3 linked regions of the Danio rerio genome follow. The protein of the gene in region 2 purifies or fractionates together with the protein of the main gene of each other region. This does not show direct contact. Links are inferred from orthologs where the notes say so. Each region holds a gene or a part of one and is shown on either strand. Other genes may lie near its edges.

Region 1 (3,127 bases), about 2.5 Mb from region 2:
ATTGCCAGTCTCCGTTCAGGATGTTTACGTACGTGAATGTGTGAAGTCTCAAGCAATGTATCAAAATTCCACTGATTTCCTGATAAATGTTGCATTCTGGGATAATCCAGCGCAGCTCTTTGATAATAAGCTGATCTCTCCTTCCTCAATGCAGTATTGGATGAACACAATATGCAGCCTATTCCTCTTGCTTTTTCTACTTTGGAGAAGACAGGAGAAGGTATCACTGCTTAAACTTACTCCGAAACGTTTTGCGTTTTTTCATAATGGATTAATGAATACGCGTCAGACTGGATATGCAAAAACGCATGCAAAAATGTCAGACTTCAGTGTGCAAAAGACCTTTAGGCTAGTATAAAAAGCTTCTTGTTAATTTGTTAGCTATAAAATAAGACCCTGTCTGTGTTTAAATGACCTCCTCATGCTTTGTGTTATGTCATGAGGAAGCTTGATTCCACCTCTCCTTTTCATCAACTCTGCATGTTTCCATAATCCGCACACTGATGTTGTGGTCTAGTTTCTATTTAAGAAAGCAGCTGTGAGTCAGATTTGAAAGATGTTAATTTCTCAAATTAAAGCGTTTCAACTCATAACATAATTGCTGACAAGAAACCAGGTCAGATCACTGGAAAATGTAGTTTAGGTGTCATACTCCATCTGTCGACTTTTTCCTTGAACTGAGGTGCCAATTCAGCGTTTTTGACGAGAGAGTCATTTCCTGTTTCTGTTTACCAGGTCAACACTACCAGACGCTGACACCATGCTGGAAAACGAGGCCTATGAACCCCCTGATGGCCAGCTCATCATGTCCCGTCTCCATTGGGACGCTTCCTCTGACATCTCCCCATCAGACTCGGCATCTTCAAAAGCCAGTGAGTTTCCTGAAGACTTTTTTTTTTTGTCAAGACGCCACATGTATCTGCTTGTCATGACATGATCTCGTTCTCAGGCACCAATAACTCTGAATCCAAGAGACCGAAGAAGAAGAAGCCCAGCACGCTTTCTCTGACTCCCGCAGGAGAGAGGGATAAAGCACAGGAGCGAGACAGAATAGCAGGCAGCGGGAGCAGCGGTAGCAGCTCCCAGAATGCTCTGGGTCTCTCAAGTCGGAAAAAGCGACCAAAACTTGCAGTTCCTCCAGCACCCAGCATCTATGATGACCTGAACTAAGGCACATGCATCCCACACACACACCCACACCCAATCATGACTGACTTGATGAGGTTTTATCTGGTCTTTAGTTTCCCCCATTTCAGTGCACGTGAACGTGACGTGTGTGTAAAGACTGGGCCCCTTTTCAGACTTCTGCAGGCATGAAGAGATCATTTGTTACAGCACAGTGTTGCACAGTGAGTGATTTAACTGAATATATATATATATATATATTGTGTGAATGGAACTAGCTTTATTTTGATTTTACTATGCAGTTCACTGTCATCTCTTAGGAGATTTGGGTTTACAGTGATGTGTGTGTGAGAGTTGGACAGTTTGTATGTGAATGGGTTGTTGCAAGTATTTTGTCCCTGGTGGCTCATGTAATTCAGTCAGGTGCTTAGTGGTTTTTAAAGGACGTCTCTGCTTCATGTTGTCTTGCTAATCTTTCTGCAACCTGATAGGCTCGGCTATGCTCTTTTAATGCCAAACAATATACTCTCTTTTGCTCTCCCTTAAAGGGACAGTTCACCCCAAAATGAAAATTCTGCAATCATTTACTCACCCTTGTTTAAAGCCTTTTTGAGTTTACACAAGAAGATATTTTGGAAAATGAGAGTATGGAAATCAGTGTTTTCCAGCATTCTTCACAATTTTTGTGTGTGTGTGTTTAAAAGCACATGAGCGTGAGTGAATAATGTGAATTTTCAATTGTGGCTGATCTGTCTCTTTAATGAACTTGGTTAGCGCTACCAGCAGCTTTCTGCCAAATCTGTGCGCACACAATCTTCTGCCTTGTGTGTTTTGGAGTTTGCTGTTCTTGTTTGCTGTCATGGTTAATATATTTTGCCTGTATTTATTTGATCTGCTGTGTGAATGTTGTTTTGTTTTAAATCATGATATGTGTATGCATTTCCTCGCATTATGGACTTAAAATGAGTTTGTTGATCTTCAAAGCACTTACTATTTAACGTTAGATGGTTTTGTATTAAATATAGTTTGTTAAAGTCTAATCAGAAATGCGTATAGCAATTGAAAATGCACTTAAGATGGATCAAATCCAGCCCCTATGGACGCCTTGTCTTTTTTAAAGTGAAAATGTTGTCATTGTTTGATCGTTAGTGAATTTTAGAGTTTGAAATGACTTGAGCTTTTGTGTTTGTTGTGAATGGACAGAATTGGTACAATTCACACTGTCCTTGCTGTGAGTGGATGTTTCGTCTGTGACGCCGAGTTCTTGCTGTCTCTCAATGCACTGTAGTGTCTTTGTAATGGTTGAAGTAAATATTCATTTTGAAGTAATTCACCATTTAATTTCTGAAGTCTGAGGAATGAAAGAGTCATTTGTTTGCTCACATTAAAATATGCTCAACAAGTGTCTTTCAAATATGAGCTATTTTATTCTCAAGCAAAAACAAAGCATTAAAGAGGTGCTAGTTGTCTGTTAAAGCAAACAGAATAGGTAGTTTCCCCTAAAACCATATTCAATTTCTGACAATATTGAGCAAAAAAAAGTGCAACCCATTCAAACAAGAACCAAAGTATCCAATGCTTTGTGGTTCCCACACACGTCTTGATTTATCTACAGTAAATACATTGCATATATACAGATTTTTACACAGGACACCAAATGTGTGGCTGTTATCGCTGTCATGTATTAATGCCTATCAACACAGTGAGTTTTCCCTATAGTCTACTCCAGTCCTGATACTGTTTGAGGGTTGCATGTAAAATCTTTATCAAGTATAAAACTCTTATAACTAGAAGCGGATGTGCTGAACCAGTGCCATGTAAAAGACAAAGGAAATAAATAGATTTCAATGTAACTGGCAAAAGAGAGAGGGAGAGGGGGGAAAAGGACAACTCAATAGTGACTAAGCAGTACATCACATATGGGTGTTTACAGTATGCTTTAACCGCATTATCGTCCTTTTTATGCTACTTTAGAAGATATTGGTGTTGTTACCAGTGAACA
Region 2 (3,657 bases):
CTAATGCTGCAAAGACATTGATATTTGTGTGCAATAATTCCAAAATGAATGTCTAATAATTAGGCCATAGAATATTAATGATGATAAAAAATGACAATAGTAACAATGAATTCCATTTCTCATTATGATACTGCCTTGAATGTGCATGAATTATCTGCTATAAAAAGTCTGTTACTTTATGAAAAATAATTGTATAGTTTGCATTAAACAAAAATGAAGCATTGCAGTAAGAAATATTTATTTTGTACTGCTGTTTTGTACTTAGTAAAGGCGAGCTTCTTTGGCGATGATATGTACAGTATTAGATTTGACTTTTAGCGGACATTTGCGCTGAACACGCAGTGAATGCAAAGCATGGAGATTCGGGCGCCTTCTCTAAGAAGCGCGTACTCGATTGATCTCAGCTGGTGGATCATTACTCACCACGTGACGTGTCATGATCGCTCTCATCTGCGCCTCAACTTTAGGTGGGGTTTGCAAACCTGTGTGCTTTAAGTTAAGTTTTCACTCTTCAGCCGTTTGCATTTCCTGTGGTCATAAAAGCTCCTTCCATGTCATCTGACAGCGGAATACCTTGAGTGATTGACAGCTAATATGAACCAATATAGCGGCAGGGAAGAGCGATTCAGCACGTTTTTACAAAAAATCAAAACAGGTCGCACTACAACCATTATCTGCAGTCGCACTAATGCTCCCATATATATTATGAGGTCGCATAGATTAATTTTCGGGCGCATATGCGACCAAAATGGTCGCAATTTCGAGCCCTGAATGATATTGGCACTTTTGTTCCATGTCCTGAGCTGCTGTAGTTACAGTAAAAACCTGACTTGGTAGCACTCAAGTAAAAAAAGGTGTAGAAGAGCACACAGGAATTATCAAGAAGGATTCAATAGTGAGTTTCATTCCACTTCATTTTCTTTCTTAGCTTGTAACTTTTTTAAACAGGTATTTGTGTTGTAGTGAAGGGGGGAAAACAGAAGTGGAAAACCCTGTGCAATAAAGACCAGTTAAAAGCATGAGGGTGCTATCTTCTTCTGTGTAATAAGCGAGCGTCATTGTGCAGCGACACTATGTTTACTGGAGTTTTTTTTTTTTTTTTGTGGTGTGTAACGTCAAGAGTAATTTTGCACATTCACTCATTTCATTGCCAGTGAAAAATCACTTTGGCATGAATGTTGAAAAAAGTCTCAAAAAATACTGCCGATAATTACAATCGATTACAATACTTTTACCCTGGAACCACCAAAAACTATAGAGCCAGATCAAATTTCAAAAATAATATATTTACAAAATATTATTCATACTTCCACAACAAAAGTCACATTTATAAAATCTAATTCGCAAGATCAAAACACAAATTTTTTGTTCTAAATACATAAATCCGATTCAAAATACAAAACAATTCGTATACACCCAAATCCTGTTCATACATTTGAAACGATTAATAAATACGCAAATCCAACTCATAAGTTCAAAGCACGATTTGCAAAATACACAAATCCAATTTGTAAGTTCAAAGCACGATTCAAAAATACACAAATCCATATCGTAAGTTCAAAACACGATTCGTAAATACACAAATCCAGTTCATAAGTTCAAAGGACGATTCAAAAATACACAAATCCATATCGTAAGTTCAAAACACGATTTGTAAACACACAAATCCAGTTCATAAGTTCAAAGCATGATTTGTAATTACACAAAAACCAGTTCATAAGTTCAAAGCATGATTCGTAAATTCACTAATCTAATTCGTAATTCGAATACGATTCAAAAATACACAAATGCAATTTGTGTATTCAAATTTAAAACACGATTTATTAACAGATAAATCCAATTCATCCTGTAAAAAATATTTATGATTTGCGAGTTATATTTATCTTTATGAATGCGAGTTATATTTATCTTTATGAGTAGTATTTGTGAATTGTGCTTTGAATTTACAAATTGGATTTTGTGAATGTGAATTGTGCTGTGCAAGTTTTAAATTAATTTTGTAAATGTATTATTTTTGAAACTGATCTGGCTCCATAAAAACACACACCTGTTTGATGGCCCAGTTGTGTGCCCTCTGAGGCTGGCATGGTGAAGTCTGCCTCCCAGATGGGAGAGTTTTCTCCATAGATTTCCTCTTCCAACATGGAAAGAAACCTAACACAAACACACACACACACACACTCAGGATATGAGAGAGTGATAGTTTTGAAGTTTGTATTGATAACATGGTAACGTGTCTTACTTTGGAAAATGTGTGAGGATGAGGGTGCGTTTCTCTGGCGGCAGTTTGTCTTTCTCCACTCTGAACTTCTCCAGTAACTGTCTGCGGGTGACAGTGAAGATGGACTTCAGCAAACTGCGGCCGAACACCTGACAGGTCTCATACCGTGGCAAGCTGTCATTGCTCTGAGGAACGTGACAGTAACACAGCCACCTGAAAACACACACACACAGAAATAATAGTAATAAAACAAATGAACAGTAATTAGATTAATGACTCTGTATATTCAGATTAAGATAGACTCAAATTTGATATTTTATTGTGTTTGAAAGTCTCTAATCCTCACAGATGGTAAATACATAAATATTATGAAAAAGCATTACAAATGGAAATTGTTTTCTAATTCCCTATATTTTATTTACAATTGAACTTATTCCTATGTTGTAAATTTTCAGCTGCCTTCAGTGTAACATGATCCACATAAAATTTCCTTTCAATATGCTTATGTTGTGCTTAACTAACACTGTTATTAAATGTTAAAGCTTTATGTAATTAATAAAGCTTAATATTTCTGTGGAAACAAACTTTTCTTTTGGGATTTTCTGATGAATAAACTTCAAAACAACATATTTTTATGCATTAAATAGATATTTCTGTATTTTTTTTATATTTCAAAAGAATATAATATTCTGGGTCGGAAGCTGCAATAAGTTTGGGGAGTAAATCATTATAAAACAATATAAACAATTTAACTGTTCTAAATTATTGATTATTTTTTAAAAATGTGTACATTAATTTTTGCAAAAGGAAAAGAAAACTCAGTTTGACATTTGTTGTGATAGATGTACAATGGGTAAGGAAATTATTCAGACGGCCTTAAATTTTTCACTCTTTGTTATATTGCAGCCATTTGCTAAAATCATTTAAGTAAATTTTCCCTCATTAATGTAAACACAGTACTCCATATTGACAAGAAAACACAGAATTACTGACATTTTTGTAGATTTATCAAAAAAGGAAAACATAATATCACATTGTCCTAAGTATTAAGACCGTTTGCTGTGACTTAAGGGGGTCTGAATACTTTCCGTACCCACTGTACATTTGCAAACCTAATTTCAAAATAGTAAACTGACCATCTTTTTTGGTCACACATTAGATGTACTTGATAATGTAATAACAGTAAATGACTTCATATGAAATAAATCCTAAACATTTTCACATAGTAAATACATACAACATAGAGGAAATGAGATCACACTCTGTTCTATACCTTACGTGTGTGTGTGTGTGTTTATATTTACACATCCTACAAACGTGCATTTAGAATAGAACACAGTAACACAAGCACCTAGTATAATCGACTTTGTATGCCGCTGCGTCCTCTTTCTGAGCCCTCTGCCGAAACTGTGACGGTGTCTCCAGCTTCCAGTAGT
Region 3 (4,151 bases), on a different chromosome or scaffold from region 2:
TTCGGTTCAGTGCGCTTTTAAGGCCGTTTCCACTGTCAAAAGGTACCTAAAAAGCAAACCGTACCACTTTTGGGTACCCTTTGCAAAGGGTACCTAGCACAACAAAAGGGTACCAAAGGGCGGAGCAAGACGTGCAACTAAACGCTACTGGTTTACAGAGATACGTTACACGCAAAAGCAGGAGAATAAAAACAAAGGAATCACCTTTTTTAAATACACAGCTGAGACATTACACCAGGGGTCACCAAACTTGTTCCTGAAGGGTCTGTGTACTGCAGATTTTAGCTCCAACCCTAATCAAATACATATGTACAATACTAGGTATACTTAAAACACTCAGGCAGGTGGATTAGGGCAAGTTGGAGCTAAACCCTGCAGGGACACTGGCCCTCCAGAACAAAGATTGGTGACCCCTGCACTAGACCATAATAATATATACATATAATAACGAACCATGGTTGACCTGAGCTCAAACAACCTTGTCGTTGTCTTGATGAACAGCCACAAAGCCAAAAAGAGCAGAATCTACCCTGTGGCCAGTAGTTATTTAAAGGGCGAGCAGTTTTGCTGTCTTGTGTGCGTTCGTCATGCTTCTATATTTGAAATAACAAACTTTTTGAGCTGATTATAATAACGTGCGCATGATTAATAAAGTGCTTCAGACATCCAATCCTTTCAGAAACAGACCAACGCGAGAGTATAGTGCGAAAAAACAAAAAAGAAGCCAGAAAAACAAAAAAACAAATGAGCAAATGATTCTTTCAGCAACCTAAACCATGAACAAACGACAATGTTTAACTACTATTGTCGCCTTTTGAACTATTATAAACTTATGAATAGCTTTTTTAACCGCAGGTGAAGATTAAAGATACAGATGAGAGGTTTGCACTGATTGCACAGCTTTACTTTGACATTTCCTCAAGCTAGAAGGACGTTGACTGAAACTTTCTGTTGAATACCATGCCCACCAAAAGAGTACCATTGGTACCCTTTTGGCAATGGAAACGCAACCCTGATAAAGGTGACTCGTACAGACCCGTACCGTACCGTCCGGCTTAGTGAAAACGCGCCATTATGAGGTTCCTTAAAGCAACAGATGAACGATACTATAGGTTTTTAAACATTGCTCTGGTCTGTCCAAACTACAGTTGCAGTCAGATTTTCAGATCACCAACAAAGTCCAATAATTTTAATAGAAATGTAGCTGATCTGAAAATCTGAATATGGATCAAAGATTTTTAATTTGTAGATTTTTTTTAACAGGTTCAAACTGGTGACAGACATAAAAGTCAACCAAAACATACTTCTTAACCTACAGTATTTCTGGCTGACAGTCGACTTAAGACTTCTCATAAAGCTACATGATTCATGTCCGTTGTATTCAAAGTTGGGTTGTTGGGTTTAAATGCTGGGTTTGGGGTAGCCAAAAGCAAATTTCTAATCAATAATCTTGAATCACCGCAATTATGAAAAAGATTCAAATGAAAGAACGTAAACCTAAACATACTCTTTGTTGTGTTTGAGAGCCAAGTGATCCGACTCAAAATAGTAGACATCTGGGTCCTCTTCCTCCTCCTCATCTTCCTCAGCCTGAGCAGCCAGCAGCTCTTTGGTGGATCTTGACTCTCTACTATCAGACACTCCGACCTCTCCGCTGACAACCTCTTCCTCGAAAAGTTCACTGTCTGCCTCGCAAGAAAGTCCCAGTGCATCATGGGAAGGGTCTTTATGGCTGGTGTCCTCTGAGAAAAAAGGAACCATTGTGGTCTCTTCCTTCAGTGAACCATTGTCTATGTGTGGGGAAGTGGGTTTGGGGGAGCTGGCTTTGAGCCCGCTACCAAAGGCAGCGCGGCGCGGTGAAGTCCTCAGGGTGTAGCGGTGTTCTTGAGGCTCTGTGAAGGAGGGGGGCTCGGCGGGCAGCTGAGAAGCAGCCAACAGCGTTTCTCCTGAGATATTCGAGCAGTTGTCAGAAGGGTCCTGTGGTTCAGCCTGAAAGTCACCATTGGTGCTCTCCTCTCTCACGAATTCATCCTGAGCCTGGCCAGCCTCTCCCACAACATCGACCTCTACCTCCATCTCGGGTTCCTGAGACAGCACAGCCTCAGCGGCTTCCTCAGGTGTGCAGTTCCTCTCACAGTCAATTTTAGGGCTGTCGGGCTCATTGGTTTGCTTGGGATGAGGGGATCTACAAGGCACAATAGGGTCGGGGGATGAGGGCGCAGCCTGGCTGCCATTTAACAGTGAGGGACTGCTGTTGAGTGTGGCAGGGGAGGCACAGGGCTCCACAGGTAAGGCCGCAACTTCTGAGTCCTCTCTATAGAGTTCAGCGAGGCCATTGGTTGCTTTGACGTTCTCGCTGACCTCTGGTTGAGGGGCGATCTCTTCTGTTGGGCCATCCTTTTTCTGATCAGCCTCTTTGTCTGAGGCTGAAGTATTATTTGATTTGGCGCCATCGTCATTTTCCTTCAATACAGCAGGATCGGGGCTCTCGGGTTTGAGAGAAGGCTCTTCCTCTGCCCCCTGTGATTCACCTGAGCGAGGACAGCGTTTGGCCCTCTTCAGGGCAGGTGAGGCTTCAGGCCCACACCCAGACCTTTGACGCTCACAGTTATCAAATTTGTCCGAATCTTCCTTCTCGGAGCTCGGCAAGCCACGTTTTCCACATGCAGGCACGGGTTCGCCCTCCGCTTTGCTCTCAGTTACCTTTCCAACCTGTGCTCCGGTCTGCTGGTGCTGCTGACAGTCCTGCTTCTTTTTGGGTGAGCGAGCTCTGGGCACGGGAGGCGGAGAGCTCTCTTCCGGCTGGGCGATGCTGCGGTTCCTGAGGGTTCGGCCACAAAAGTTCTCATCCAATCCATTTATCCCCACTGATGATCTTGTGACGCGCGAAGAGCGGGACGCGGCCATACTATGGTGGGTGCCTACTGTCTCCTCATCGTGGTGCTCTCTCCTCAGCAGCAGTATGTGGGCACCTGAGTGACACAATGAGAGACTAATTACAGACCGTTCAGATTCTAAATTACACAGGTTTAAGTGTATAACAAAAAATAGACAGAAAAGATGTAATCGGTTGCTGTTCCTGAAGAACATACATATTTGAGAATGCATGCAAATGTGCTCAGGTTAAATCAAAGTTGCTGCACAGCACTGAAATGTTCACAAGTTTAAACAGAGGTTAGTATATTCTGAAATGTAGTGGATTCATGTAAAACAAGTTCATAAGAAGTTACATTTACACACAGAAAAGTTTTAACTTTTAAAAATTAAAAAACAAAAACGTACGATAAAGCTGCAGAACTAACAGTTGAAAGATCATGTTCTTGATTAAAGACTAATGCTTACTTCACTGTAACCAATTGTATTATTATTGATATATAAACAGACTGCAGAAAACACATTCCTCCTATAACCTCTAGTACACTCAATTAAATTCCTTAAATACTCAATTACATTTGTGAAATACCACCAACACTTTCTCTTAGTACTTCATAGGTAAGAATTGTGTTTAGTACTGGAAGAGATTGAAATTGACAGCATATTTTGAAAACATAATTATAAAACTTCAATTTAATCGCTCGGAAAATAAACAATAAAACATTTCTGTGGTTGCTGCTTTGCTTTGTCATGGTAACATTTAAGTCCCCATTCAAGGGCTCTGCACCCTGGACTGAGCAAAGCATAGGAATATGGGTCTACTTGGGTGTTGAATTGTCTAATAATGATGTCAGGCTCAGGGGTGAAGCATAGGGCTGGGCGATAAAAATCGAGATCACAGGCTTTTATGACTAAACAAGCTCCAGAAGTTCTGGGAAACTGAGGTGGTAGAAGCGCAGTAGTTATGATTTCTTTAACTTGTATGAAAAAAATATAAATAAAAAATACGTGACCTGAGATGGTTAGGAGAAAGATTTAACTGTATTTATTAACTGAACACCATTGTCGATATCAGTAACAAAAAAAGTTTGGTATGTAGTTTCGGTATGAAGCGCTATAGTTTTATTAAAATGTGTCTGCCGAGCGCGCACCTTGGAAGCAATGCCAATAAGCTTAGAGTCAGTTTGTCATTTCCAAAGGAGGTGCACATGGGAGTGACGTACACATGGTGTGCGCATCACGTTAAGGAGCAACATGTTTGAGCACTTTCTAAAGAT

The links.
Region 1: the proteins of kat2a (region 2) and atxn7l3a purify together in Homo sapiens (affinity purification with mass spectrometry; 10 studies listed by BioGRID and IntAct, counting the BioPlex papers as one, with this or other methods). This does not show direct contact. The link is inferred for Danio rerio from reciprocal best matches to the Homo sapiens genes KAT2A and ATXN7L3.
Region 3: the proteins of kat2a (region 2) and zzz3 purify together in Homo sapiens (affinity purification with mass spectrometry; 5 studies listed by BioGRID and IntAct, with this or other methods). This does not show direct contact. The link is inferred for Danio rerio from reciprocal best matches to the Homo sapiens genes KAT2A and ZZZ3.

Annotation. Positions count from the first base shown.
Region 1 is NC_133178.1:18,805,816-18,808,942, reverse strand, and holds the end of atxn7l3a (ataxin-7-like protein 3), read left to right. Parts: intron 1-735; coding exon 736-872; intron 873-949; coding exon 950-1,170; 3' UTR 1,171-2,539; downstream 2,540-3,127. UniProt on the Homo sapiens protein: Component of the transcription regulatory histone acetylation (HAT) complex SAGA, a multiprotein complex that activates transcription by remodeling chromatin and mediating histone acetylation and deubiquitination.
Region 2 is NC_133178.1:16,337,929-16,341,585, reverse strand, and holds part of kat2a (histone acetyltransferase KAT2A), read right to left. Parts: coding exon 3,573-3,657; intron 2,435-3,572; coding exon 2,243-2,434; intron 2,155-2,242; coding exon 2,048-2,154; intron 1-2,047. UniProt on the Homo sapiens protein: Protein lysine acyltransferase that can act as a acetyltransferase, glutaryltransferase, succinyltransferase or malonyltransferase, depending on the context.
Region 3 is NC_133177.1:9,148,095-9,152,245, reverse strand, and holds the start of zzz3 (ZZ-type zinc finger-containing protein 3), read right to left. Parts: upstream 2,908-4,151; coding exon 1,508-2,907; intron 1-1,507.